4 linked regions of the Diceros bicornis minor genome follow. The protein of the gene in region 4 interacts with the protein of the main gene of each other region in a pairwise test. Links are inferred from orthologs where the notes say so. Each region holds a gene or a part of one and is shown on either strand. Other genes may lie near its edges. The genes, in order: RHOJ, RNF8, ARPC3 and WASL.

Region 1 (7,434 bases), on a different chromosome or scaffold from region 4:
AATAGTTCCTCTTCCAAGTGAATGTCCCACTACTATTACTCTATGTGGACGTATTTAGCAATTACTAATACACCATATTTATCAATTATCAGTACATTTGGTAACTATATTATAAGGACAAGACATACACTCCATCACACCCTACTCCATTTGGAGGATACTCTTGGAATTATATTTTTCCTTGTTGTATTCTTTATCTTTTCATTATATTTTAATTCCCTTTCATAGCTGTGTGCAAGTGTAGAGACCTTGTTCTTAATAATAATAGCTACCATGCACCTAACACTTATCACGTGTAAGGCACTGATCTAAGAGCTACATGTATTAATTTATTTTGTTCTCACAAACAATCCTAATACCTCTATTGTCCCTTTTTTCATTTGTGATAGCTGAGGCACAGAGAGGTTAAGTAACTTGCTCAAGGCTACACAGCAACAGCAGAGCCAGTATTAGAACCAGGCCCATTGGCTTCAGAGCTCACCATCTTGAGCACTACGCTGTACTTCCATCCTTACTATTATGTCCCTACCTTCCTGGGATGGGCAGCTATTAGGGAAAAATATTTTTTCAAGGGATAGGATCTCTTTGACTTGAACTGCAATGTTCTAATGACTCAGTAAACCAGTTGCAGGTTGTCACTTCAGAATGAGCTGGTAGGACCCGGTGACTGGATACTGGATACTTCTCCATGTGAAGAAGAGAGCGTTAGTTCTTTTACAATTGATTGTAGATTCTCTTGTGACTGTGTAAGGATTTAGGTTCAGTCAGCTCATATAGGAGGGTGGTGGTAGAGGGAGCTGGCGAAGATCCCTCCGCTAACAGAAATGTCGGATGTGGCTCGTGTCTTCATTTCGTTTACAACCTGACTGAAACCACATGAGATGATTGTGTACTTAGAAAAGTACAAAGTGTAAAACAAAGCAACAATGTTTGGGAAGGCCTACTATGTGCAAAGTATTGCTTTGGATTCAGTAGCTGTGATTTCTTGAGAGCTAAAATCATAGAGTAGCCAAAATCTTTAAGATGCTTTGATGCTCAAATAACAGTAAGTATATACACAAGTGAAATATAAAACAATTTGATCCTAGTGGAATCTAGTGGTGGCTCAGTCTTTGTTTGGTCTCTAATGTGTTTTTTCAATAGGCTATCTTTATCTCCAAAGATGGTTTTGCCCTCTTTCTTCCTGACGCTACTCTGTAATTGGTTCACCCAATAGATAGGGATGGGATACATAATTTTCAAAACACTTGCAATTTCTCCCTTTAGTAGATTTTGGGTTCTACCTTTGATCTAAAAGTTTTTGAAATTAGGTCCCAGCCCGTTTCCCTTTCCTGGCAGAAAGAGGGTATAGAACAGATAACCTTTGCTAAGATGTTTACATGTCTAGTATCCCAGTAACTTTTTTAAATTGCAGACCTCCTAATTTTATAATAAGTTTTTTTCCTCAAGTGAAAGTCTACCTGTTCTTCTCTTTATTCTGTTCTCATTAAAATGTTCTTCTCTGGGGGTAGTCATTATATTTTCAGAAAAGCTTAAGGCAGCCAGCATTCAAATTTGCTCTTAATTTCTGCAAATATAGAAAAATGTGCTGGGAAATGGATACTATTTTCACTGTGGTTCTCTCCCTGTCTGTGGTGTAATATTGTCATAAATCGTGTAAATGGAGGAGGAGGAGGGGACTTAGGTGACTGTTTAGTTCTGGAAAAGAAGCTACTTCCTACAGAAAGAGGATCTTCTGTGGCCACATAGCAAAGCCAACACTCACACAGGTTTCCTGTGGGCTGTTTCCCCTCTGCTGAACCTGACCCAAGGCCATGGTGAAAGGGGAGAAATTTTCCTCTTACAAAATCTCAAATCTCTGATAATTCACCAAGCTGATCACTATGTTCAAAAGAGTTATAAAATACAGGCAACTGTAAACTTGAAGAATTTCATGAACTTGCTTTTGACAAACTTAATGATATTTGTTTTGGAAATTAAGAAAAAAACTGAGAGTCAAATGGAAAAATTTAGATAAGCGATCACACTGACAAGCACACCTACAAGCTTTAGAACCCCCCAAAAAAAAATCACTGAAAGAATTAAGTTGTGACGACAGTATCTTAACTTTCATGCTTTAAAATATTTTCTGCCCAACTTTGTCATTTTGGGACATACTTTAAAATGATTCAAATTTTATTTTTGTCTTTATTTTTACTTTTAAAGACATATCAATTTAAGACGTTTCTTTTAATTCAAGATATAGATTGCTTAACAGATATTGAATGCTTTTCCCTCCATCTACAGCTCCAGGAAAATGAAAGAATAGTAACACAGCACCAATTGTTATAGAAAAATGAGTGTTCTAGTGTTTGTTAATCTCAGCATTTGCATTTATGAATGGCATGAGACGAATACATGAAAAGTGGCAAGAACACTCCTTTCACTGTTTATGTGGTTAGTGGTGATTTTTTTTTTTTTTTTGGTAAAAAAGAGTTGTGATGCAATTACACTACATTTTAAAATGTTCACAATAAAAAGTTGATGAATCTTCAGGCAAATGTTGAGTAAAATCTCTGGCCCCAAAGCCTAGAGGGCAGTTCAGGGTATTTCCCCAGCGTCACTCCCTGATTTAAGGGGAAAAGAAAGCGTTACAATACAAATTGACGTCCAGAACTGCTAACACTTCTGGCAAAGTGCTTGGTCGTGTGTGACGCTCAGCCACCTGGCTGCCGCCGGGCCTGCACCCAGTACTGACGTTAGCAAGAAGCCAGGCCCCTCTGAGGTTGGGCTGTTGCCTCCCGCGTGCTTCACCCCGTCTGCAGGGGCAGGTTCCCACCTTTTCTTACCTGCGTAGTGGTCAAACACGGTGGGCACATACTCCTCCGGGAAGGCGTCGTTGGCGTAGCTCATCAGCAGGCAGGTCTTCCCCACGGCGCCGTCGCCCACCACCACGCACTTCAGCATCGTCTTCTCCTCGGGGCCCCCGCAGCCACAGCTGCTGCCGTCCCCCTCCTTGCAGTTCATTCTCGAGGCTCCAGCTGCTGCGCCTGTGCTGCTGCTGTTGCTTCCCCTGCTCCTCCCGAAGCCCATGGAGTGGCGGGAAGCGAGTGGCAGGCTTAAGATCGCTCTGCCCTCCGTTGAGGACCTTGGCTCACACAGACTTGTCTGAGGCGGCTGGCGTATGCCCTCTTGCTTACCATACTGGTAAAGAAAGGGAACACACACTTGGGAGAGTTATTCAAAGGGTCTGTTCCTTTTCCCTATCAGTTTGAGTTAAGAAACCCTCATTTTCACCAAATTCTCGGGGCTTCCTGGCAGTCTGGAAATTTCAGCAGCCTGAGGGTTTCACTCTGCTCTCCTCCCTCTCCAGCCTGGCGGAAGACACAGTGGAATTTTGCTAAATCTTCCCCATTTTCCACTTCACATCTAACATGGAGGAAGGCTGGGCTTTTTAATGGAGTTTTGCCCTCGCTTCCTCCAGCTTGCCGAGTGTCAGGAAATCATGGGTTTCCTGCTGCATTCCATATTAGGATCAGTGGGCTGGGGAAGGCTCAACAATAGGAGCTCTGTGTGTGTGTTTGTACTTCGGGGGAACGCTGCCAGGACATGGAGTGGGAAAACACTAGGGGTCCCGCTGCAGGCTCAAGCTGTCAGACTTCCTGTTTCATCCACTGCTGGGGAGGCTGTTTGCCTGTGGCTGGCTGGGAAGAAGCTGACGAAAGGATGGAAACTGGGGAGGACTGTCTGCCACAGAAACAGAGGGAACGGTTTAAGTGAACAGAGAGAACCACACCAGCCGTTGTAGGATAACAGATGACATCATCCCTCACTGAGTCACCAGTTAAAAGCTCTGTAAATTAAAAATGGACAGTTCTTCACACACTTGAATGAGAAACCTTAAGCAAGTCATCCCTGCAATAAAGAAGAGAACTTTCGAGAGTTACATTGTTCCGAAGGGAAACATTTTTGTGGGTCATAGGTATAATATGTGTGATCACGTTTATAAGCTGCCGCATTTGAGCACAACGTGCAAACGTGTATTCCAGACACAAACATTTTTATGGTTGTAGCACATAAGAAATCAATCAGATGTGGGATGTTTGCATCTTCTTATTAGTGAATAAACACACATGTGCTTGGCTCACACTCTTGGAAATGAGAGTGTGTGGGACAGCTTTATTGGTTTGTTTCAGGTCCCTAAATGCTGCTTTTGCATGGATCGTTCTCTTTTTGATTTAGTCCTCTCCCCTTGGGTCAGCCTGGCCCTCTTCAATTACAAAGGAGCACTTGGCAGCTAATTTATTTGTCTGTTGGGTCGCTCAAAATGAAGCCCCTTTGAAGCTCTGCGTTTGATTAATGTACTTGGTCTTAGAAAAGAAGTGGTACTCTGCAAATGATTTTGACAAATGGGTCAAGTACTTTTTTGATGGGGGAGTTCTGTTTCTTTGAGATTTTTGACCACTTATTTTTAAGAACTCAGATTACCCAATTGATTTGAGGAGGTCTTTTTTTTATGGAGGCAGTGGGAGAGAAGTGTTTCAATAGGTGGTATCAATTATATATATACACATCTATATGCTACTGTATAATAGATATATCCCCAGATTTCTTCTGTTTTGGATTATACTAACATTTGCCATTGTGCTTAGCGTCCTGAGATTTCTTTCCTGTAAAGGGATGGTGTTTCAGTCAGGTTGTGGTATATCTACTAGGTTATGTTGCTGTAACAAACAACTCCCAAAGCTCAAAGGTTTAAAGTAACAGGTGTATTTCTTGCTCATATTGTATCTATTTTGTGTATTTTTGTCATCTTCACTCAAGGATCTTGGCCGGTAGAGCAGCCACATGGAGAATATTGATGATCACCATGGCAGAGGAAGAAATTAATGTGGTGAAGTGGTATTGGCTCTTAAAGCTTCCCCCAGAGGTGACACTTCTGCTCACATTCATTGGCCAAAGCAGGTCACATGTCCCTGCTGGGTTCAACAGAGTCAGAATTATAATCCTGCCACTTTTCATCCTTCCTGGTACCAGGAAGGAGAGAACCAATATTGTTGACTAGCCTAAATGACTGAGAGAGTTCAGTTGAGGTTAAGTTAGCAATACGAAATGGAATTGTTTGTGTTTATTGCCATTCTGAACTATTTGAAGGCACCTGTGACTGCACGTGATTTACGTAATTTTATATTCATTTAGTCTATTTGAAACATCTGGAATATGTGATGATAAAATTGCAACTTGAAAACACGTTTTCTTCTAGAAAAAATTCTTGAGTGTGAAGGTGGCAGCAGGTGAAGGAGTGATTGGCAGTGTGAAGAAGTGCATCTTGAAGATGCACAAGACCACTTTCAGCACGTGTTGATATGTGTTTGGCAGAACTTTGAGGGAGTTCTGACTTTGGCCTTGTCCCTGAGGTCAGGCAGTAAATGTGGCATGGAGTAAATACTCCATTCAAATATGGAGTCCTCAAACGTGGCTGCTCAGCGGGTACTCCTACATCACAAATACACCCCAGCCTACAGAGCACTTGACCTAGGAAAAAATTGAGAAATTGGATCAGGTGAAATTTTGCTACATCTGTGTGTAACCTAAACTTTGCTCCATCAGACCCAGATATTTACATCCATGACGATTGCTATGTGAACTGCAAATGGAGACGTTTGGGAGACTGGAAGCAGCCAGTCATGGGTCCTTTCCCTCTAACTCAAAGGATTGGCACATCTGCCAGACTGGATTACATGCAAAGATGGGTCATGGCCATTGAGAATGTTGGCTATATTTCTCGAAATAAACTTGCTTCATCACTGTTTACCACCCCCACAATCGAATATTTATAGGGAAAATTATTTGAGACATCCTAGTGAAAATGGCAAAAAAAAGTTAAAATTTAGTAGCCTGCTGATTATATGGATGGCCTTGTCCATACGAGAATAAATCTTTCTAAATATTAAAAGTTTCACCTGACACAGAGTAACAGAATCTTAAAAAAAAGAAAAGTAAAGACAATTCAGCATTGATCTTATAGGTCCGTGAGTCCACAGAATTGTGCCCAGGCACAATGGTCAAGAATACACTTTAATTCCAAAGTTTATAGGTATGAATTTAGAAGTGGTATGAAGACCGTTTGCTAAAATATTCTTTACCAGATGCCTGTACTTTTGGATCTCTGGCCATGTGGATGATTGAGTGGTGGTTTCATAGCCATTAATTATTTGGTTTACCTCAAGCACCAAGTTTACACAAACTTACCAGTACATGGTGAAATCGTTTTGGGCGATATTTCCTGCTTTTTCCAAGAGATCTTAATTCCTTGGCTCCCTCTTGTCCTCTGAGCTTTGGCTTCATATGAATTTTCCCAAATGCCAACAAAGAATTTTTGCATAAAATTCTGACTCCTCTGATTACTTCCAGTTCTAGTATGACTTTAATACAAAAGCCCAGACTTTTCTTCTCTTTTTTTCCTTCTTTTGTGCTCGAAAGTAGAAGTTACATGGGAAAATAATGCAATTGGACCAGACACTCTGATTTTGGGTTAGCCTTTGTGGAAAAGACTGTTTTGACTCCAGTCTTTGAATGTGGGATGTGCTGTGGTTGCTATGATTCTGGGATGCCCAGCCTAGTCACGAGTCACCCCGTTCCAGAGAAAGTCCTCTCTAGGGCTCATATGGATGTCAGGCCTCCGGTGGTGGTGGGTATGGTGTGAGGCAGGAGATGCTGCGTAGTTCTAGAGGCTCTGACCCAAATCGCCCACTGGGCCTAAACCTCAAGATCAGTTGGGGCACTGCTAAAACTTAACGGGTTGTCCTAGGACTGGTCTGGACTGGAACTGCCCCTCCTTAAGGTGGGTGGGTCATTGCCATCATGTATCTGCATTTTTTATCTGTCAGGGGCCACCTGTACTCAGCCTCTGGCTATTGCCCATGTTATCATATACCATATCATACCATATCATAATCATATATCTGCCACATTTTCTTGGATATGATCTTTGTATACTTCTAGAACAGCTTTTTTTTTCTTGCTCGGAGGGCTTTTCTTTCTTTGCCAAATCTCTTAATTCTGATAGAAGTAGGTTACTTGCAAAAGTCAGGTAGATGGGGACTTCTTTCTGTCCTAAGAAGAGGCTGATTTGGCCAGTAATGGTAAAGGTGTATGCATGTGTTTCTTCTGTGTTTCACTATTGTGTACCTTAACTCTGAGTACAAAGCCTTGTCCCAGAGCAAGAGAGTCCTGTGGGTGATCTGACTATTTTTTTTTTTTTTTTTGGTCTCCCTCCATAGAAACCCAGAGGTTAGGGAGTTTTCAAGTTCACGTAATCCAGAAAATCAGGAGATAGGGAATAGTTTAGAAGGAAATTTCCCATTGATTCCTGATCTTCGGAATTGGAGTGGTAAGTTTTGGAAGGTGGAGAAATTTGAGGTTGAGATGGTGCTGGGTTGTTTCTCCATCAAG
Region 2 (7,853 bases), on a different chromosome or scaffold from region 4:
ACTGGGGCTTTGGGGGGAAAATAAATAAATAAATAATCTTGAAAAAAAAAAAAGAAACTGATATATAATAAAGTATACCTGAAATTACACAATGTTATAAACCATTACGACCTCGATAAAATAATTTTGAAAAAAAAGAAACTAGAGTCTTGTCAGCTAAATGCAATGGGTGATCCTGAACCAGAAAAATAATTTTCTTCCTCTCGTTATTAAGGACATTATTGAGACAACTGGTAATATCTGAACAAAGTCTCTAGGTTAGATAGTATTATTGTATCAACGCTATTTTTTTGATCTTATTATTGTGCTGTTGTTATGTAAGAGAATGTCTTTGTTTTAGGAAACACCTAATAAAGTATTTAGGCGTAAAAGAGCATCATATCTGCATTTTACTCTCAAATAGTTCAGGAAAAAATAAATTTACATACATGTATATATATAGAGAGAGAATGATAAAGCAAAAGTGGTAAAATTTCACATTTTGGGAATCTAAAGAAAGGGTATTGGGAGGTCTTTGTATTTTTCATGCAACCATTCTGTAAGTCTGAAATTATTCCAAAATAAAAAGTTGTTAAGGGCTGGCCCCATGGCTTAGCAGTTAAGTGCGCGTGCTCCGCTGCTGGTGGCCCAGGTTCGGATCCCAGGCGCGCACCGACGCACCGCTTCTCCAGCCACGCTGAGGCCACATCCCACATACAGCAACTAGAAGGATGTGCAACTATGACATGCAACTATCTACTGGGGCTTTGGGGAAAAAAAAAAAAGGAGGAGGATTGGCAATAGATGTTAGCTCAGAGCGGATCTTCCTCAGCAAAAAGAGGAGGATTAGCATGGATGTTAGCTCAGGGCTGATCTTCCTCACAAAAAAAAAAAAAGCTGTTAAAAGTGAAAAACAAAAAGAAAAAAAAATTGCCACAGCCACTCCAACCTTCAGCAACCACCCTCCTGATCAGTCATTAACATCAAAGCAAGCCCCCTCCCAGCAAAAAGATTATGATTCTCTGAAGGCTCAGATGATGGTTAGCATTTTTTAGCAACAAAGTATTTTTTAATTAAGGTATGTGTTGTTTTTATAGACATAATGCTATTTCACACTTAACAGACTACAGTATAGTGTAAACATAACTTTTATATGCACTGGGAAACCAAAAAGTTTGTGACTCGCTTTATTGCAGTGGCCTGAAACCGAAGCGGCAATATCTCTGAGGTATGCCTGTATAGCTACTATTACTCAGGTGTTAGTATCTTCAACTTGTTAAACTTCCCAAAGGTATATGCTTTTGGAAGGGGTTGTGCAGAAAAAGATCAATGTTCAAGCTAAAAGAATGAAAACCTAATGTGGACTTTTAGGCAATGACACCTGGATAGAAGAGAGATTTAGGGGCAGAGGTGTTTTCCTGGTGTTCTTCAAATCACAGCATATAAGTAACCCTTTATAACCCCCTAATCTAGCAACATTTAAGGCTGGACGCGAATCCCTCCTCTGACTTGAGAAACCCCTCCTCTAGGATAGTACTAAGTAATCCACGTCTTGGCACTTGATCGTACAGCCTGCCTGGACCTTCTCAGACTGCCTCACTGTATAAAATCCTCTTTCCCCATTCAAGCGACAAACTCTTTGAAGGCAGAAGTCATTATTATTTGGCTCTCTTATAGCACGCCAAACAATGTAAGTCCTCCATAAATACCTGGGAGACTGAATTGAGACTGTATAGTTTACAGGATAAATCTAATTAAACATACATAATAATCAAAAGACTTCTTTATCTGTCATACAAATTATTTCCAAAACCCAAATGGTTCTCAGTTACCACAAGCTGGTCCCTGATCCAGCTTGTGCTCAAGCTCAAGTGCAGCAGCTCAAGCTGACTGCACTCTTAATTTTCTGCCTCCTCTTCCATAACCCCCTCTAGAACCACCACTCCAGTCCTAGGGCCTCCAACCGGAACGGTGCCTCACCTTTCCTCTTTAAAAAAAATTTTTTTTAAGTATTTTGCATTTATTACATTAGAAAACAATATAAGCAGCCTCTGGAGAAGAGACGCTTGTATTTCTGAATCCCTACTCCCGACCCCACCCAGGGGGTACCACTCGGCGGTACCCAGTACCCAGACTCACAGGACAAATGTGGCCACCCTAAAGCGTCCATTTTCCTCAAGTGTTGGAAAGGAAGAGAGATTTTTACAACAAAGTCAGAGTGTTTTAAGGGACGTGACCCGAAACTCGCAATCGTTTTCAAAACAAACTCGATAAGTTCACGCTCTCGGCAGTCCTTCCGGCTCCGCAGCCCTCGGCCCCTGGGCGGTTCGCGACTCTCCGGGAAGTTGGGACAGCTCCGCCTCACAGGTCCGCCGCCCGTGGAGGACACCGCAGGGCTCCGAGCGACCCAAACACGGCTGTCCGGTCCCCTCCCCAACCCAGCCGCCTCCTTCCCCTCGAAACCCCAGCTGGTCCTCACATCCTCTACGCCCACCTCAACTCGCTCTGCCCCTCTACCAGGCTCCTTCCCGCAGCCCGGCCCCCTGCCCTGCTCGCGCCGCGGGCCCAGGCCTCCCTCAAAGGGGCCATCTTTTCTCCTCCGCGGTCCCTGCTCCTCCCCCCACCTCCCACCTCGGAGCCACCAACCGCTCACACCAGAACCCCCTTCTCCCTTCTCTCCCCCAGGACCCACCCTTCACGTCTCTCTCCTCTTCCCCGCTCCCACCTCCTCTTTTCCATTCACCCCTCCCGCCGACGCCTTGGCCCCCTCCGGCCCCTGCCTCCTCCAACCCCCTTCCCTCGCCTCGGGAAGACCCCTCCCCCTCACCTCGTTTCCATCCTCCAGCAGCAGCCACTCGGCGTTCATCCCCACCCGCCGCAAACACCAGCTCCGGCCACCGGCGCGGTCTCCCGTAACCAAGGAACCGGGCTCCCCCATAGCCCACTCGGCCCTGGGTCGTGGTCAACACAGAGCGAGACCCCGACCCAGGTTCCCGCCGCCTCTACGCTTCCTCGCGGGCGCCATACCTAACAACAGACAGAAGCAATCGCTACGCGCTCGCCGCGATCGATGCGAACACTCGCTCGGGCTCCGCGCCCTGCTGGCTTCAGGCCAGCACGCGGAGTCACTGCGCCTGCGCGAGAGGAAGCCGCGGCTGGCAGCGCAGGTGTGGAGGCACCTAGCCCCAGGTGTGGCCGGGGTCGCCCAAGGCATTCTAAAACTCTGGTCACACCCTCTCGAGAACCATCACCCCAGTCCTAGCTGCCCCGAACTAGAACTTCTCCCTTTTTCTCTTTTTTTAAATTTTGCTTTATGACGATTTCCAGGATATTTAAAACTATAACTTTTAAACAACTTTAAATTTGTGATAATTTTTAAATCTAAGTCTGCTCCTACATAGCATCTATTTTGCACGAGCTCCTTTTACTAACGAATTTTTAAAAATATACTAGGCAAATCTATCGAAACAGAAAGCACAGTTACCTGTGGTTATGTGTGGGAGCTGGGTTTGAATGCAAATAGGCTTGAGTTTTGGGAGGTGATAGAAATGTTGTAAAACTGGATTGTGGTGATGATTGCACAATTGTGTATGTTTACTAAAAAGTCACTGAAGTGGGCCGGCCCTGTGGCTTAGAGGTTAAGTGCGTGCACTCTGGTGCTAGCGGCCCCGGGTTTGGATCCCGGGCGCCCGCCGACGCACTGCTTCTCCGGCCATGCTGAGGCTGTGTCCCGCATACAGCAACTAGAAGGATGTGCAGCTATGACATACAACTATCTACTGGGCTTTGGGGGAAAAAATAAATAAGATTATTAAAAAAAAAGTCACTGAAGCATACGTACACTTCCGGTGGATGAGTTTTATGGTATGTAAATTACCCTCAATAAAGCTGTTAATTTTAAAAAACAAAAACAAAAAAGAAAAAAACCTCAAACTCTTTCCTTTTGATTCGCCAGTGCAGTGTGGTAGCTGCTCCCTGTAGTGAATACCTCTTTGATAACTCAATGCTTTTCGATTTTCCAATACCTGGTTAACGATTTTCTTAAATTCTGTCAGAAGAAGATATACATACTAAATGAATCAAACACAGTGCAAAAGTAAATGGCTAACATTTATTGAGAGCTAAGTGCCAAGTACTAAGCCAAGCACCCTACATACTTTATCTTATTTGCTCCTCACAAACAATAGGATGATAGTGGTTACGATTATAATTCCTACTTTAGGGATGATCAGAAGAGGCACAGAGAGGTTTAGTAATCTTCTCAAAGTAACAAATTAAGTGGTGGAGTAGGATGCCAATTCAGGTCTGTTTTCAGAACCTAATTTCTTTTCTTTTTCTTTTTTTGTGAGGAAGATCTGCCCTGAGCTAACATCTGCCAATCCTCCTCTTTTTTTGCTGAGGAAGATCCACGCCCATCTTCCTCTACTTTATATGGGACGCCGCCACAGCATGGCTTGACAAGCGGTGCATCGGTGCACGCCCGGGATCTGAACCGGGGAACTCCGGGCCACCGCAGCAGAGTGCGCGCACTTAACCGCTTGCGCCACCGGGCCAGCCCAGAACCTAATTTCTTAACCTTGGTTGCAAGCCCAGCCAGGAGCGTCTTATCTGCGTGGCACTGCCAGATCAGGAATTTTGGCCTGTGATGTCAAAGAGGGTCAGGAAAATTGGTGGGAGCTGTAACTGCACACTCATGCAGACGCTTCCCTAAGCTTTGGATGGGTGTCTGTGGGTGCCTGTACCTCACCTTAGCATTCTGTCCCAGGAACAGCAAGTGTGCCTAGAGGCCATCCTGACATTTACTTGGCATGTCTCCTTAGGCTTTTCTTGGCTGTGAAGTTTCTTAGACTTCCCTTGTTTTTGATGACCTTGGTAGTTTTGAGGAGTACTGGCCAGGTATTTTGTAGAATGGCCCTCAATTGGGATGTCTCTGATGTTTTTCTCATGATTAGGCTGGGACTGTAGGTTTTGGGGAGGAAGACCACAGAGGTAAAATGCCATTCTCATCATATCATATTACGGGTACATGCTATCAACATGAATTATCACTCTTGATGGTAATCTTGATCACCTGGCTGAGGGAGTGTAAAGTTACTCTTTCCCCCCGTTTCCATACTGTACTCCTTGGAAGGAAGTCACTATGCACAGCCCACACTTAAGGAGTGGGGAGTTATGCTCCACTTCCTTAAGGGTAGGGTATCTGTGTAAGTTATTTGAAATTCTTCTGCATAGGATATTTGTCTCTTCTCCCCCATTTATTTATTGAGTCATTTATTTATATCAGTATGGACTCATGGATACTTACTTGATACTTTGGGTTATAATCCAAAACCACTTTGTTACTCAAATTACTCCTACTTTGGCCACATTACTCCCATCATTGTGTTTTATTGAACATTAGAAACCAACATCTGGGTACTAGGTGTGCTCGTTGCCACTGGAATGTTGTTGCTTCTAGGCTCTCTTAGATGACAGAGCAAGTAAATATATATGTGATTACTAACCCCTCTATATCTATATATCTATGAATATTTATGTATGTATGCATATATATTGTATGTATGTATGTAACAACACATGTATACATACATATACATACTTGTCTATCTCTATCTGTAAGCTAAACATGTGCATACTGATGTCTTACAACTCTAATGCATTACCACCTGGCACCTGGACCATTCTAGTCATTCCCCCCTTGCTTATCTGTAACTTTCCATTACCTAAGTGAGAAGCCTGGCTCCCACTATCGCCATCCATTTACTTAATCGTCATTTCCAGCATACATGTGTAGTGGTTTACTCAAGAATCTCCTTACCATGAGCTTCTTGAGGGTGTGTCTTAATTTCCACTGTATTCCTGACATTTTTATTGAATGAATGAATGAATGAATGAAGCTCAACTAGTAAATGGCAGTGCAGGAAACTGAAGCCAGAGCTGTGAGCCTGGATCTCTCTATAGAGCCCCAAACGCTGCACTCATTAGAGTCTAGCAGTGGTCTGTAAGGTGGAATGGCCATACCCCAGGGAGCACCCAAGATGACCCATTTGCTTGTGGAAGAATATATCAGGATGTCTAAGTAGGTTTTAATTCCATTCGTTTAAAAATGTCCACTTTTGTGAATATTTTATACTCAAATAAAAGAACAACATAGAGGATATGCATAGACTTTATATGAATAAATAAATATGCATATATTGGGCTGTATGCTTAGACTTTGTTTTGTTGCTGAGTGCACGATCAAAACAGTTTGGAGACACTGCCTTCTAAGATATGGAGACTTTATTAACTCCACCTCCCCTTTATATTCCTTCATCTCAGTGGTTCTCAACTGGGGGTGATTTGCCCCCCAGAGGACATTTGGCAATGTCTGGGGACATTTTTGATTGTTATGACAGGGGCAGGGGTGATGCTGGCATCTAGTGAGAAGCCAGAGATGCTACAAATCACAAGACAGCCCCTGCAACAAGAAATATCCAGTCCAAAATGTCAATAGCAGTAAGGTTAAGAAACCTTGCCTTATATCCATCTCAAGAGGGAAAAATTGAGGAGAAAGAGCAGGATGCAGAAAAGGAAGTAGGGTGTTATCTAGATCTGTGGATTTGACACCTGGCTCATTACATGTGCTCAATTAATGTTAACTGAACAGAGCTGAGGAATGTTAGAAAGAGTTGACAATGGAGAGGCTTAGGGAGTGGGAGAGGAAAACAACAAGAAGAGGAGGAAGCACAGGACAAGAAGAAGAAAGGGAAAGGGAGGACAGAAATACGGAAAGGAAGTGTGGCAGATTATTTTCCAAGATGATTACAGCAAGCTCGCCCATCCCACTTGCTCTTACAGTGTGACACTGACACCCCTCATGTTGCGAGATGGTGTCTTTATTTCCTCCCCTTGCATCTAGGTGGGCATGTGATTCCAGTAGAAGTGATGCTATGCCATAAAAGGTGATAGCTTCCACCTGGCCTTTTTGGGCTGCTCTTGGAACCCAGCCACTGTGAGGAAGTGGAGAGAACACAGGAAGAGGCCACATACAGAATTCTGGCCAACAGCTCCAACTGAGGTCCAACTGACATCCAGCATCAACTGCCAGACGTGGGAATGAAGGTGCCCCTAGATGATACCAGCCCCCTGACCATGAGTCACCCCCAGCCTTTGAGTCTTTCCAGCTGAGGCCCCAGACATCATGGAATAGTGATCCCTGAATTGTCATCCCTGTTGTGCCTCATCTGAGTTCCTGACCCACAGAGTCTGTGAAAATAATACAATGGTTGTGTTAAGCCCCTTAGTTTTGGGGTGTTCTGTTATGCGGCAATACAAAACTGGAACAGGAAGGGTGTGGCAGAGGAGCTCTTGGACAGTTGTTGATTGTGTGCTTTATATATTAGAGTAATGCTGGCTGCTGTAACACACAAACCCCAAATTCCAGTGGTTTACCACAATAGAAGTTTATTCCTTACTCACGTAATTGTTCAGTGCAGTGTTCCTGGTCGGTGGACAGCCTTCCACTAAGTCATTCAGGAACTTGGACTACTTTCATCCTATGGCTTCTCTATTTTTCAGGGCTTGGGGTCCTCTGCATCCAGAAAGCAAAACAGGGAAAGAGAGAATGGAGAAGGCACACCTGCTTCTTAACTGTCTTGTCCCAAAAGTGACACATATTCCTTCTGCTCACATTTTATTGGAGAGAACTGGACACACGACCCCACCTAGATCCAAGTAATGTTGGGAAACGTAGTCCCTGGTTGATCAGCCAGTTCCCAGAAACAACTCTATACTATGGAAAGGGAAGCATGAATTTTGGGGGACAGTGAGCTGTCTCAGGCAAACCTTAGAAATCAAGTAAATGAATTAAAATGATGATGATGCTAGAGCTT
Region 3 (7,039 bases), on a different chromosome or scaffold from region 4:
TCCATTTTGATGACAGAGAAAGGACAGGGACACGGCATTTTACAGATGTAGCAGTGTTAGATTAGTTTGAAAGAACTCACAGATGATAGGAACAGTGTCACGACTGAAGCATTTTTTTCCCCCTCGATAGAATACCCTGGAGAAATGAGCAGCAATAATACAGTTTCCTACTAAATGCAACATATACCCATGATCTTGAAAGGTCTAGAAAGCAATATCCACCAAGCAAATAGAAAACACAAGAGCGGGTCCAGCCCCGTGGCTTAGTGGTTAAGTGCTCGAGCTCCGCTGCTGGCAGCCCGGGTTTGGATCCCAGGCACGCACCGAGGCACCGCTTGTGAGGCCATGCTGTGGCGATGTCCCATATAAAGTGGAGGAAGATTGCTACGGATGTTAGCTCAGGGTGAGTCTTCCTCAGCAAAAAAAAAAAAAAAAAAAGAAGAAAGAAAGAAAGAAAAAGAGGTGGATTGGCATGGATATTAGCTCAGGGCTGATCTTCCTCACAAAAAAAAAAAAAAAAAGAAAACACAAGAGCAATCTGAGGCACAGGACTTCCCCAATTGGGTAATATCAGAGCATTGCTAGATGTTTCATACCAAAATCTGAAAATAATGGAAAGGGGTTTCAACTTACTCTCTCTAGGGGCAGGTCCTTTGAACTGACTTCTGATGGGCAACAGGGCCATGTTTCCAATGAGTTTGGTGTCGGGGTCCATGAGAGAAGAGTGGTAAGCCTGTGGTGGCAAGCCAGGTAAGAACAGAGAAGCAGAGAGCAACGTCAGCAGAGCAGACAAGAACATTTCCTCAAAGGAAAAAAAGAGCAACCCACCCAAGATTAACCAGGGGAGGGGGCAGAGGGATAGTGGCATCGACGTGCTGGAGCTGGCTCTTACTGGCTCATGAAAACTGACTGCTAAATTTTGAGAAATTTTGAGCCAAGTTGGTTGTTGAACACAGCCATTATTAAAAATTAAATTATATAAATTTGCAGTTAAAAAATAGTATTAAAAACAAAGGTAATGAATACTCAAAATTCACTACTTGTTATTTTTAAAAGTTGTTTCACTATTGTCTATGATCTTAAGGTTATTTATGTCTTTGTATCTTTATGGTGGAAATACTATATAATGGGATGTGACTGGGCATCTCTTCCCGTTCTATGTTCAGTAACATCACATTGGTACCTGGTGGGAGTATCTACACTACAGAAGTAGGCAAACACTATATTAATCAGGGGTACCCACGCCCTAGCTGCTATTAAGCCAGAACCCAAGCAGTGGCTTTTCAGGTCTGCCACTTCCTGGCTTGGTCTTTGACCAAGACATCACTTTTCTTCTCAGCCTGTTTCTAAATTTGTAAAATGAAGAGACAGATACTGCCTTCAGAGAGCAGGTGTGAGTTAAAGAAGGAGAAAAAAAATCACATTAACGAGAGCAATTTGTAGGCTGATTCGTAGTTCCGCTTTTTACACAATGTCTGGCTTTTTGTAAGGCAACATGGGCCCCATTCATATATTTATTCATTCACCAAACGATTACTAAGCACCTTCTACATCCAAGGCACCATGATATAATGGGATGCAAGACCAGTATGGTTTCCACTCTTGAAGAACTTTCAGGCTCATGAAAAAGACAAATATTAAATAAGCAATCACAAGGGAAGTCCAGGGTGCTCTACATGCAACTGGAATAAGCACCGGGCTTTAGAGTCCCCGGCTTATAACCCGTTTTGGGCGCAACCTCAGGCACGTTACTTAACTTCTCTGAACCTCAGTTTCCTCCTCTGCAAAATGAGAAAACAACAACATATCTACTTCCTAGGGTTACTGTGAGGATTAAATGGGATAATTTATATGAAGTGTGCAGCTCAGGGCCTGCCTGGCACACATCAGGAGTCAAATGGTAGCTATGGGATTCATAAAATACACATTTGTAACTATGGCTTGCTCCTTTTCATCACAGGTCTGCTTCACCTAAAGCAGCCGCCACCCTCCCCTTCAGCAGCTGCTGTCTTGTTACCCATCTGGTATTTCCTTCATAGCATTTGTCACTGTCTGAAACCATCTCCTTCATTTTCTTTACGTTTACGTGTTTATTGTCTGTCCCCTCATTAGAATGTAAACTCCTTCAGAGGAGCTATTTGTTGGCCTTATGCTCTGCTGTAACAGTGCTTGGTATGCAGCAGGTGCTCAGTAATGTTTGTTGTATGAATAGTCACGTTTTTGAAGCTTCTTCCTAATCTGCAAAATGGAGACCATGACGGTGATAAATCTACCCCAGAGGCTGGCTGTCAGAAATTAAGAGCAATCAGACCACCATCAATTTTACTCCCGATGCACAAGAAAACAGAAACATCTGGAAACCAGGCGCGGACCCGAGTCTGCTCTGGGGCCCTAAACCCAGCAGCTCAGGGGTGGCCGCCACTGCCGGGGCGACAGGGGAGGAGCCGGGGAAGCGGGGTCTGGCAGACGACAGGCAGCGGGAGGGACCCGCCCCCTGGGGCGGAGGAGGAAGTGGGCCTGCAGGCGAAAAGGAGAAGCCGGACCCCGGACTTGAAAAATGAAAAATAAAAGCGCAGCCCTTGGCTTCGCGGCGCTAGTGAGGCTTTGGGGACCCTGCCGGAGTCGGGGTGCAGAAAGGGGGAGAGAAGGGATCGGGACTGGGGAGAAGGGGGTGCAAAGGACCGGGGCAGCCTCCTCCGCACGCCCCTGGTCTCTGGCCCTCTCTGCCGCGCCCCCGCCCCCACGGCCGACGCCCCGGGCGCCCCAACTCCAAGGGACCGGCCCCTGCCCTCGCTCTCTCCTCCTCAGGCCCCTGCTTCCCCGCCGCCCTCCTCGGCCCGCTTGTCTCAGCGCACGCACCATTCCTCGCCGCTCTCCCCAGTTCTCGCCGCCTCCCCACACCCCGACCGGCCCCCTTACCGGCATCTCGGCGGCGCCCGGGTTTCAAGCCAGACAAGGAAGACAGGTTAGAGCGCGGCGCTTCCGGTCTGGCGGCCCGGGCGGGGTAGGCGGAAGTGAGCCGGAAGGGGAGGGCGAGGGGAGGACGCGGCGCTTCCGGGCTTGCTGTCGCGCCGCTGGCTGCTGCGGCTGCGCGGATCCGGAGGGGCGCCAGGGGGCGCCCGAGCACTAGGCAGGGACCGCGTGTCGCGCATGCGTGAGGCGTGTGCGCAGTGGGGATGGGTTTGGGAGTTACAGAATCCCAGTGATTAATCACCTCGTTTGTTTTCTTCAAAGATCAGCTTTTCAGTGAAGCATTCCCTGCGTCACACTATTTTAAATTCAACCCCACTCCACCCCCTTGCCTCACCCTTCTTTCCCTTAGTTCTTATGGTTCTTTTATTATCTAGTTTACTTTTGGTGTTTGTCTCCGTCTCCCCATCCATATGAGCGTAAAAAAGGCAGGGATTTTGTCCGTTTTGTTCACTGCTGTATCTCCCGCGCCTGTAACAGTGATGGTACATAGTAAGCACCAATAAACACTTATTGAGTGAGTGAACGAACCCAACCCATTGGTTTTAACAACGGGGAAACGAGCACAGGGAAGAAGGGGTTTGTGCGTTACTCCGCACTGCAATTCTTTGCAATGGGGCAGTACTGTAATGGTTGAGCAAGTGGACTCTGGGTTTGAATCTCAGCTCTAATACTTGCTAGCTGTGTAATTTGGGGCAAGTTAATTAACCTCTCTGTGCCTCAGTTTCCTTACCTGAGAATGGAGATAACAGTACTTACCTCAGTTTTGTGATGATGAAACGAATTGCATGTAAAGTGCTTAGAACTTAAATGCCTGGAAGATACTGAAAGCTCAGGCGTTTTTAAGCGCACGGCCCCACTGAGGCACAGAGAGGTTACTAGAAATCACCTCATGTTACAAGCCAAGTTCATTGCTGCTTCGGGCCATTTCTTCTGCCAGTCCCTCAGACTGGAATATTTTGCCCCATGTTCCCACAACTGATTTCTCATTTAGGGCTCTGGCCAAATAGTACCTTTTAGGAGGCTTCTTTGACAACAAGCCCAAAGTAATCCCTTAGTCACTCCCCAGTTCATTACTGTTTTCTGTTCTTCCCATTCCTTATCAGGTTTCCTTGTTTGTGGTTAGTCTCAAGAGCCCAGCACCTCAGCTCCATGAGAGGGGCCTTGCTGCTCTGAGTGCTCCTATTTTATCCTCAGTGCCTGGTTCCCACCAGTAAATTTGTCTGAAGAATCACGTCAGGTTCTCCTACAAGACAGGGAAATCCTTGAAGATTGGAACTGTCATATTCATTCTGAAACCCCAGTGTTCAGAGGGGAAGGAAATGGAATTTGGCCTTTCACTTCTTGCCCAGAGGGACAAACCAGACTCTCCAGAAGCTAAACCAGGGAGGTACAGCTCCAGGAGCAATGAGGAGGGTGAATGAAAAGTTGCCTTTTCTTTCTTCCCCTCTCATGTGACAATAAAATTTCTAAAAAGTAGCAACATGAGGAGCTCAGGGTGTTTTCACACTTTCTACACACTAAAGGCCACAGGAAAAGTCCCCAGGCAGGACAGCACATCCCCAGGTTGCCCACTCATCACGTGCTCCCGATTGCCCCTGTGAGAAGACTCACATTAAGGCACCCTGGTGCAAATACCTGACTCTTGCCCCGAGCCTGGGCTCCAGGCACAACTTACCCCTGATGGCTGACTCCTCACAATTTTGCCTTTGATTAAAATGGATCCAATGTGACACTGCAGGTGTACTTCTGCTATCTAGGCCCAAGAATGATTAAAAATTTAACCTGAGTTGCAGCTTTTCTATAAGGGATTAATTTGTATCAGCTGGAAGATCCAGTGCCAAATGAGTAATGGAGCCTGGGCCTGCTATGAGGATTAAATGAACCAGATTATGTAAAACACTTCTTAGCACAATGCCTGGCAGAACTCGATAAATGAGATTCCGCTTTGCTTTAGTAGGGCCTGGCCTACAGTGGGTGCCAGAGAAATACCTGTTGATTGACCAGTCATTCCTCATGCTTTCCACCCAACCCAAATGAACTCAGAAATACCGAAAATAAACAATTCAATGTGCAGGAAGTTAAAAAGAAAAAATTACGTCTTTTATATTTTTGTGTGCATCTGTTATTATTCAAGGAAAGTATAAATGTTTAAATGCTCAGAGACTACAAACATTTTAAAAGAAATCACTGCCTACATTTTGACGCTTGGGGAAATTGACTCATTCAAAAATTTGTCCTGGCTGAGTATTTTAAATTCTGACTGGAAAACAAGAGTGTAATGAAAAGTTAGTGCTATCTTTCTATTTCTTTTATTTATATACATTTATATCTTAAAACATAGTTACTTTTCAGTTCTTAATTATACAAATAATACATTTTCAATGTAGGAAACTGGAAGATACAGATAAGCAATGATCTTATCTATATTCTTCTGGATTTTTTCCTTTGGACACACATATGTATATTTGTTACAATAACTTCTGCCCCTCCAAAAAACCTTCAAAAATAACAAATGATAAAAATAAAGGTAGAGTGGTCTTAACTGTACCACAGGGACTAATTTATATTATATACAAATCTATGTGCATTCATTTCAATTTCGACTTTTAAAATCTAAATTGCTGCTGTTAAACAGCAGCAGTTTCAGAATAACTCAGAACTTGATTCAGGCATGCTGCTGATAAAAAGCCAAGTATTATTTTTTTCATTAAAATAAGCAGCTTTCTAGTATTGCATCCTTTGAAGACAAGAATATTCTGCTGGTTCAGTCACAAGCTCTTCATATATATATAGTCACTTTTAATAAACTCTTCATTCATTCTGGTGTTCTTGAAAATATTCATCAAACATAGAAGAAGACTCATCTTCATGTTCCTGACACAAAGGAAACACAAAATAGAAAATATATCATTTCCCCTCAGTTAGACCAAGTGTGTGCTGACATTTTCCAGGTCATGCTCTACCAGGAGCTAACGCCCAGCAGCAGTTCCACGTGTCGTCTATAGTGACAAAAGGCATGACTGACAGTATTTTTCCAGATATGTGGTAAACTCAAGCGCTACATCTCATTAGAAGCGTATCTTACTCGAGCTTACACTCACGCCAATTCTCAGCTAATCTGCTGTGACAGCGCCCTACTGACAACTATCCCTGGTCTTTCCACTGACATATGTGAAGGCAGCCCAAGTTCAACTGGATTTCACTTCCTCTTTGCACACACCCCCGAGCTGTGAGGACAAAGAAAACTCAATAATATTGCCTTGATAACAGGTAGGGTACAACTGACACTGCTTGTTGAGCCCAGGTGTCAATTTCAGAGATCACCCAGAAAAGCCAAGGTTACTGCTGCCACTAAGACAAAAATTAATTTAAAGAGTTGCTGGGATTATGCAGGAGGCCAGTGAGCGCTGGCAAACATTTTTACCGAAAGCCAATAATCAAAAATTACCTTTGGTTCTCTGAATTCTAAGTCTTCTCCATACTGAATGGCAAAATCAATATGCTGTAATACAATGTTCATGCTTTCTTCATCTGACTGATCGTAAGGCAAAAATCGAACCATGCTGTAGTCATCAATCTACAAGTTGGGGATTTCAGAAAGGGTCATTCTGAAGTTGTACAAAATATTTAATTTTCAATCTATAGTTGAGTTTATAACCATTTATACTTCTGATTAAAAACATTTCTGTGGGAGGGAAGGGGGAGGAGGGGTAGATAGAGACAGAATAACAGCAAATCATCCTTGATTTTTCTGATCTCCGACCTACTAGAACATTCTTTAACTTATTACATAACTAGACATTGTTTCATAGGTATTTATCTATGAAAATATAATACACATATATATAATATCTGTGAAATAATTTCTAGGTATTCAATAACCACTGGATACTTTACAAGGGCACAGATAGTTCTGAATTCTCAAAATGGCTTGGAATAAGAGACATGTCAGTTAATTTATTAGCTACTGCCAATAACTACTTCTAAATTAAACTACTGACCAGCCAGCCCACAGCCTACCACCATCCTCCTCTCCTTTGCAAGGAAATGGGACTGGATTGTGCTT
Region 4 (7,598 bases):
ATTCTCTAAAGCTTTTACTCATCCTCTCTTTTGATCCCCTAAACCTTTATAAAAATAACAGCATCCATATATTTACATACAGTCCTTCTAATTCACACAACCACCCCATGAGACAGTATCCCTATTTTAGAGATGAGAAAACCAATTCTAGGACAGGGAGCTTAAGAAACTTGTCCAAAGTGACTACATGAGTTTGAACTCCGGTCTGCTGACTACAAAGCCAAGACATTTTCCATTGTTACATGCAGTGTTTTAGACATCACTCTGAAGTACCGACTTCATCAGTTTACACATTTGTTTTCCTTTTTAGACACAGTAAGCTCCTTGAGGGCAAGCATCAACTTCAACATTTAGTTACTCAATACATATCTGTTGAGTGCGAGAAGGAATGAAACTCGAGAACTGGGACTATTAACTATGACTATTCCTGTCTCATTTCTGGAATCTTAGATAGGGTTCTGACTACACTTCTTGCTTAACAAATTTGGTCTGACCTGTAAATCTTATTGCTGGATTTTTTTATGAGACCATGTATTTCAGTGTTGTTTTAAACTACAAAAAACAGCATAGTCAGCAAAGGGAAAAAAACATTGTTCCAAAAAATTAAAATATCATTCTTACTTTACTCTCTAATAATCGGAGACTTCAAATATTGAAGTTAATCTTTGCAACAATTTCATACCACAAGAGCAGGTAACTATAACAGTGTGGTTTTAAATGACAGAAATACAAAAGGTAAAGTTGATTAATAATAGATGACATAAAGAAATTGAGCACTGAATACTGACAGCTTATTCAGCAATTCACTTATGCTAAACAGTAAGCAACACTATCTTTCTCTATCACAGTATTCTTCCACATCTGTCATTTTTTGAAACCAGTAACCATTACAGGTAAGCAAAGAGCAATTAGTTAGTATACTTGTGCGTAAATGTAATGTCCTTCCTGCCTAAAGTTATTGCATCTGGTATGTAAAACATAGAACTACTTCATTTCTAATACAGATTACATAGCAAATGTAATAAACCAGAAAATTTTTTTTTTCATTTGCAGATAATATAACATTCAACGTGCTCGAGATTACCCTAAATGGAAAATAAGAAAAAATTAGTGCTTCTTTAAGAATCTTACACTTTAATCATATCAGTTTTTGGTGCAAAAAAAGAAGTGATTACTCCTTCAACACCACTTTTAGAAATAAGTCCATAACAAGAAAAAAACCCTTCTAAAACAACGTGCTGCAGTGGAAAGCACAACCGACTAGGCATCAGGAGTTTCTGGTTACATTACTAACTTGTTGTGTGACTTTGGGCTCACTGGCTCAGTTTTCTCATTTGTTTAAAAAAGGGAGGAGGGTGGAGGCTTGATTATCTTTAAAGTTGTAGGTCTAACTTTTGAAACACATCTGAATTGAATGTAATGATTCAAACTCCAACAGGATGGCATAGGATACAAAGGGTAGACTCCTATCAAGTTAACAATTAATCCGATAACCTCCAGAAATTGTCTAATCCTAACTTCTTGAACAAGCAGGTGTAGTCTGGCTTGACACATTTAACACTAAGAAAAGTTGTAAAAAGTATTGCGCTGTTGACATTTCGTTAGGTGTTTCCTGGGTTCCAGTGGCACATACTCTGTAGGTTCTAACAAGCAAAGAGGGGAGAAAGGGACCCAAACAACGTTTCAACAAACTCAACCACAGTTCCACCCAGCCACCGCAGTTAAGATGCAGCCTACGAAGGCCTGCACCATCGAGCAGAACCTCCCCACCCCCAGAAGTGCCAGCAGCCAATGTAATGAATGCTTCCGTCAACAAAACACATTCCCCTTCCCACAGAACTGCTTGCTCCCAACCGGCCATCTGGGGTTGGAACAGGCCGCACAGCACCAATCTAAAAACCATTCTCGGGCCCCAAAAGGCCAAGAACTACTCGAGATTGCGGCTCCCCTGCGCACGGTTATGGGGAGAGCAGCACCTCCCACCGATGCAAAGGAAAAAATCAGTGGGGAGGAGAGTAGAAACCAGGCCTGGGCGAGACTGCTGGAGAAATAAACTGTTTCTCTGCAATGGGGAGCGGTAGCATTTCCTGCCCTCGTTCTGAACCGATGCCCTCGACTTCATGCCCTCCTGAGATCAGAAAGGCGGATTAAAAACCACCTTATGGTTCCGCTTCATTCATATTTGGGCTTCCTTCCCCGACCTACACACTCCTGAAACCTCTGGCATTGTGAAGGTACTCCCAGATCGAGCGGCAGGAGGTGAAGCTACAGGGCCCAGTTTCTAAGACTAAGCAGCTCGTGCAAGAAGAAAATCCCCGTGTGGCCTGAAAGTAAAGTTTGAACCAGCTGCAAGGGCGCGGACCCGGGCCTGGCCAAGCAGGGCTCCAGGGCCGGCCTGCGGAGGTGACACTTCCCTGCTCCCGGGCAGCGCCGGGAAGCGGCGTCCGGCCGCCCCGGCCCGCACTGCTCGCACCCGGGGAGCGAGGCCAGTGCGCCGACGCGGGGCCGGGGCGCGGGCCGGCGGGAGGCCTGAGAGGCAGCCAGACCGTCCCCGCGCCGCTCCCGCCTCCTTCCCCACTCCCAATTCCCGGCCCGCCAGCCCGGCCCGTGAGGTAACGTCGGGGGTGGGACGCGGGTCTCGGCCACTGACCACACATTTCTTGCCGAGGAAGGTGAAGAGGGACTCGTTTTCCTGCGGGGTGAGCAGCAGGGACCCCACGTTGGTGACCCTCCGCGGTGGCGGCGGCTGCTGCTGGCCGGAGCTCATGGTTTCGCCGGCTGGGCTGGGCGTCCAGGGCCGTCTCCTCCAGCGAGTGGGCGAGCGCTAGTCCCCCCTCTCGGTGACAGGGCGGGAGGAGGGGAGTCAGAGGCGCAGCATCTCGCAGCTCCTCCGGCGCGGGGAGAAGGCGGCCAAGAGAAGGAGCAGCCGACCGGGGGCCGCGCCGAGAAAGAGAAGCTCCCCGCTCCCGACCGGCTAGGCTCTGGCCGGATGGCCGTTGTCCTCGGACTCCGGCGACTGCGCTAAACTCCCAACTCCTCCTCCAACCCTCCTTCGGCGGCGGCGGCGGCGGCGGCGGCCGCACAATCCAACATGGCAGCGGGGGCGGGCGAGACCACAGGACGCAGGACGCGGGGGAGCGCGCCGGAAACGCGCGGCTGCAGACCGGGCCCCGGGAGGAACCCCCCCGCACGCCGCGGTCGGCCCCGCCGCGCCGGCCCGAGGCCCCGCCCCTTTCCGGTCGAGACGCGGGCTGCGCGATCAGACGCGGGGTTGCGGTTCTGGGCGCCGGAACCGGCCTCTTGACTTGTCTTTTGGGAACTCGGCCCCAGCGGCTGCCGCCTGGAGAGAGGAGGATGCTCGTCTCCTCTTTTGCAGACGTACACCTTTACGAAGCGTCAGCGCCGCCCTAGGCCCCCCTCCCCGGAATAGCTCTTATTTCTGGGGCGCGGAACCCGGATGTTCACACCGCATTTGAAAAAGGTCTGGAAGCTGGAGACGGAAAATTGGGGAGAAGTGACGGGCTCCCTGGGCTGCTCGCCGGTTTCGGTTAGAGCCGCAGGTGCTTGGGGTTTCTCAAACTTTGTCCAGACTTCAGCAGTGGGAGTGGAGGAACAAACAGGCCTCTCCCAGTATTGTGAAAGAGAGATCTTGCTGATAGATGTTACAAAAAACAAACGCACGTAGAAAAGATTTCTACCGCCCGCCTGGTGTGTCACATGGGGTAAATGTATTTGTAACCTTTGACTTCAACGTCTTTTCTCTTACGGGCCCTGAACACATTTTTTCCCTCTGTCTTGTGAGTTGGAAAATATTCCTTTTTTTCCCTTTCTTGCCTTTTTCTCTCAAACCCCGAAGCCCTTGTTTACTTTTTATCCAAAATGAATGTGCCCATTTCGGGATGTCAGACAGGAAAATAGATTATCTGGTTTAATCCTTAAAAGTAAATCTCAGGTGTTTTTTTTTTTTAATTTGTATGCCTCAGAATATTGAACGTTACCCAAGATAACCCCTTTTATTCAGTAAGTTAAATACTAAACAACTGTTGTAAAATGAAGTTTTGGAATATGGAAATGATAAACGATACTACTGTGAACTATAGAATAAGCATCTGACTTCTCCACTTTAAACAAATTAGCATTTATTGGATAAACTGGACCACCATGTTTGCTAATTATTCAGTTTCAATAAACAAAGAAGTTACCATCTATTAAACTTAAGACATCCATTCTATGCCAAATAAAATTTGGTAAAACGATTTGATTTTAATATCACTGATAGCTTCCAATACAAATCTCGGGTGGACTAAACAGATTGATAAACTATTATCGATGCACTTTGAAAATATTACAAAAATTTTAAATTAAAACTGGCTTTGATGAAATTAGCTAAGTAGGAGTAAATCTACAAAGGAAAATGAGATCATGTAGTCCTGGGAGTCCTCACACAAACTATGGATATTTCAAAATTAAACTTGATTAATAATGTTAAGGGAAAAAGTGATTTAAAAACAGCTGGTGGACTTTTTTAGAAAATAACTGAGTTTAGAAAGGCAATAGTAGAAATGCAAACTTGGAGTTGCCTCTGGATTACAGAGCTAGCAAAATAAACCTAGAAGATAAATCAGTTTGTTTTTTCTATCAAAAGTGAGGTTCCTATAAATTAAAACCAGAGTGATAGTGGAAAGCATTGCAAATTCTTGAGAAATGATAGAAGTTAGAGCCCTAATATCTTCAAACGTGTGAATCAGGATAGTAACAAGAACAGGCTTCAGATAGGCCTAAATTGGAGTTCTTTTTCTTCCACTTAAAACCTTATACGCTACCTCGTAAGCTTTGGAGGAGTTGCTTCTCCAAGTCTCTGTTTCCTCATGCGTAAAATGAAAATAATTTGTATTTAATAAAGGTGTAGTATAAATAGAGATAATTATACCTACTTCAAAGTAAAATTTACCAAGATAGCATATGTAAAGTACCTGATACATAGTGGTTACTCAAATATTACTTGTCCGTCATTAACCATCGTTGCCTATGGTCTGCTCTGCCTTCTCTTAGCTAAGGGATCAAGAGTGGAGATGTATATTTTTACCTTTGTTCTAAGCCTGATACTTCGAAAACTGTCCTTCATATTTAGAACTGTATGTAATTCTCTAAATATATAATGGTGAATTTGGGGCATAATTTGTTAGGAGAATTTCTAATTAGGCTATATATTATGTCACGTTGGCTATGTATGTCCCAGTATACCGAATAACAAAACTTTCAAAACTATAAATCTAGAGACAGAATCATATTAGTTTCTAGTTAATAAAAACTGAAAGGTAGCAATTTTTATGCTAGAATGCCAGCTTTTAAAACTTTTAGTCCACCCAACTATTTTGAAGATGGTAGAGAGAGAGATGTGGAAGAGGGCTGTAAAAAAAAGAAGCTAGGGGAGGATAAGTGAATGGACAGTAGTTATGAAATGAGGAATCTGTCCCATGCTGAGAGCTACTGAGTTCCAATCATTTCACAACCTCTTGTTGGCCTAGACTATTTATTGTTTTAATTGCTTTTTTTTTCTTTGTTTCAGGAAAATTTTAATATTTTAATCTGTTTCCAAGTGCAATTTTCTGACTATTTGCCCTTGTTCTTTTTTCTTTGGAAATGAAGATTGAAAATTGTAACCACCATAGACATTTTTCTCAAGCCCAAACCATTTCTGTAACTCTTCCTCAAAATTTTAAATACGGCATTTTGTCTACAAAATTGCCATATAAGTTCTTATTTCCTACTCCGTTGTTATTTTTCCTTTTCTCTCGGCTTTTTCTAACTCCTTGTTCTTAAAACCTGGGAAATGTAAGCGTGAACATTGCATTGGAAATATGACTTCCTTACTCTTTGGAGTATGTGCACAGGCAATATTTGGGGTTATGCCCCCTTACCATGCATACAAGGATTCTATTTTTCTGTGTTCATCCTGAGACCAGGCAGTACTGGCTGTATTTGTTTCAAAAGTTTCAGCAAGTCCTTTCTTCCTTTCATTCTTGATAGCATATCCTCTATTTGGCGGAACACAAGACATCTTTCTCTCTGTTTTCTTTGGCAAGTTATTTTCTTATCTCAAATTCTTTTTACCCAGTTTGAGAGACTGGATTTGATCCAGGAAATGAGAAGGATTCTATTTCCCTTCAACTAAGTATCTTGAAGTTTGTAAGCTAGGTTAAGAAAACTGTAGGGAGTTTATCTTCATACATATATAAAATGCGTATGCTGTATTAAAATGTCTATAAATATAACTAAGAATAAGGCAATTCTGAAGTTTAATTTCTTCCATTTGACTTTCCTTGACTCAATTAGAATCTATTCTAGTACTTTTATTTTCTTCTTTCTTTGCCATGATCCTTTGAGGTAAAGTCCTCATTTTAACAGAAAACGTTAGAGTAGCTTAATTATGGAAATGAGGGCATATTTTCAGATGCATTCCCTGCTGTTATCATTGTACTTTGCAAATTTCTCCTGTCCTCGTTCTTTGTTAATCTACTTTTCTTCTTTATAAATATGATTGTTTGTGTACTGTTACAAGTGCTCTGAAACACCCTGTTTCCCATGCTAATATTAATAGTTTAAAATGTAGTGACCCCCTTCATTGTAGGGGAGCATGGAAGGAGCTGCACGCAGGGATCTATGGCATTCAGCAGCCATTGTAGCCATAATTACTGGTACTGACATGATGCCTGATTATGGCAGAACGGAATTTTAGAGCCAACAGCAAACCTGGATACTGCAAGGGTGATGAATGTCACTTCCCCCGTGCATCCGCCAAGTGTCATGGGTTTAAAATGTTTACGTTGTAAAAAAAATCCCTGCACATTTTTGTGTAAATGTTGCATATAGCAGTGTTGAAGAGAATTTGTCCTAGTACTTGTTTTCCGAAGTTAAATGTTAACTATTTTATTTTTTATCAACTAAGATCTTGAAAAGTAAGCTAGCCAACTATTTTTCTCTCCCTCTCCCTTTACAATTCATTTTGAGTACAAGCCACTTTGGGGCTTACTTTTTTAGGAATAGATAGCTTATTTACAATTCATTTTGATTTCTTATTGATGTTAATGGAAAATTGAATTCTTATTTGCGCTAGTGAATTACCAGTGATAGTTACTACCACTGTATGGCCTCATCTCCAGATACCTAATATATAGGTATCTATGTATTTATTCACATTTATTCAAGAAATGATTTGAAGAGCTAAATATGTTACAGTACCCAGGATGCCACTTACTGGTTTTCTCGCCACTGCTCTTTACCTTTAATGAATAGTCAGTGGCTCTCAGTTTAATTATTCCAGATGAGAGGGAGAAAATATTGGCTTCTTTATTATAATGTGCTCAAGGTCAATTTACATTATGGATGAGTAGGCAGCCGGGATACTTGTGATAACCTGAAGATGCCATTTGTCCCCATTACCTCACTGAAAGTATTGGGGTGAAGCATATGGTGTCCTCTACCATATAACGTTTTTTAAATCAATTTTTAGTTTTATAAAAGTTTTATAAAAGTGATCCATGCACATAATCTAAAAAATAAGATAGTACTACAAAGGTTATAACAACAACAACAAA

What was found.
Region 1: the proteins of WASL (region 4) and RHOJ interact in binary tests that used the Homo sapiens proteins (3 or more experiments, as listed by UniProt). The two-hybrid records come from large-scale screens. The link is inferred for Diceros bicornis minor from reciprocal best matches to the Homo sapiens genes WASL and RHOJ.
Region 2: the proteins of WASL (region 4) and RNF8 interact in binary tests that used the Homo sapiens proteins (3 or more experiments, as listed by UniProt). The two-hybrid records come from large-scale screens. The link is inferred for Diceros bicornis minor from reciprocal best matches to the Homo sapiens genes WASL and RNF8.
Region 3: the proteins of WASL (region 4) and ARPC3 interact in binary tests that used the Homo sapiens proteins (3 or more experiments, as listed by UniProt). The two-hybrid records come from large-scale screens. The link is inferred for Diceros bicornis minor from reciprocal best matches to the Homo sapiens genes WASL and ARPC3.

What each region holds. Positions count from the first base shown.
Region 1 is NC_080763.1:12,449,266-12,456,699, reverse strand, and holds the start of RHOJ (rho-related GTP-binding protein RhoJ), read right to left. Parts: upstream 3,022-7,434; 5' UTR 3,007-3,021; coding exon 2,829-3,006; intron 1-2,828.
Region 2 is NC_080753.1:27,699,408-27,707,260, forward strand, and holds the start of RNF8 (E3 ubiquitin-protein ligase RNF8), read right to left. Parts: upstream 3,001-7,853; 5' UTR 2,918-3,000; coding exon 2,807-2,917; intron 1-2,806. UniProt on the Homo sapiens protein: E3 ubiquitin-protein ligase that plays a key role in DNA damage signaling via 2 distinct roles: by mediating the 'Lys-63'-linked ubiquitination of histones H2A and H2AX and promoting the recruitment of DNA repair proteins at double-strand breaks (DSBs) sites, and by catalyzing 'Lys-48'-linked ubiquitination to remove target proteins from DNA damage sites.
Region 3 is NC_080774.1:8,970,413-8,977,451, forward strand, and holds the start of ARPC3 (actin-related protein 2/3 complex subunit 3), read right to left. Parts: upstream 3,018-7,039; 5' UTR 2,926-3,017; coding exon 2,920-2,925; intron 734-2,919; coding exon 634-733; intron 1-633. Other genes in the region: GPN3 (GPN-loop GTPase 3), read right to left, coding at 5,785-5,847, 6,422-6,550. UniProt on the Homo sapiens protein: Component of the Arp2/3 complex, a multiprotein complex that mediates actin polymerization upon stimulation by nucleation-promoting factor (NPF).
Region 4 is NC_080742.1:73,551,406-73,559,003, forward strand, and holds the start of WASL (actin nucleation-promoting factor WASL), read right to left. Parts: upstream 3,020-7,598; 5' UTR 2,768-3,019; coding exon 2,651-2,767; intron 1-2,650. UniProt on the Homo sapiens protein: Regulates actin polymerization by stimulating the actin-nucleating activity of the Arp2/3 complex. Involved in various processes, such as mitosis and cytokinesis, via its role in the regulation of actin polymerization.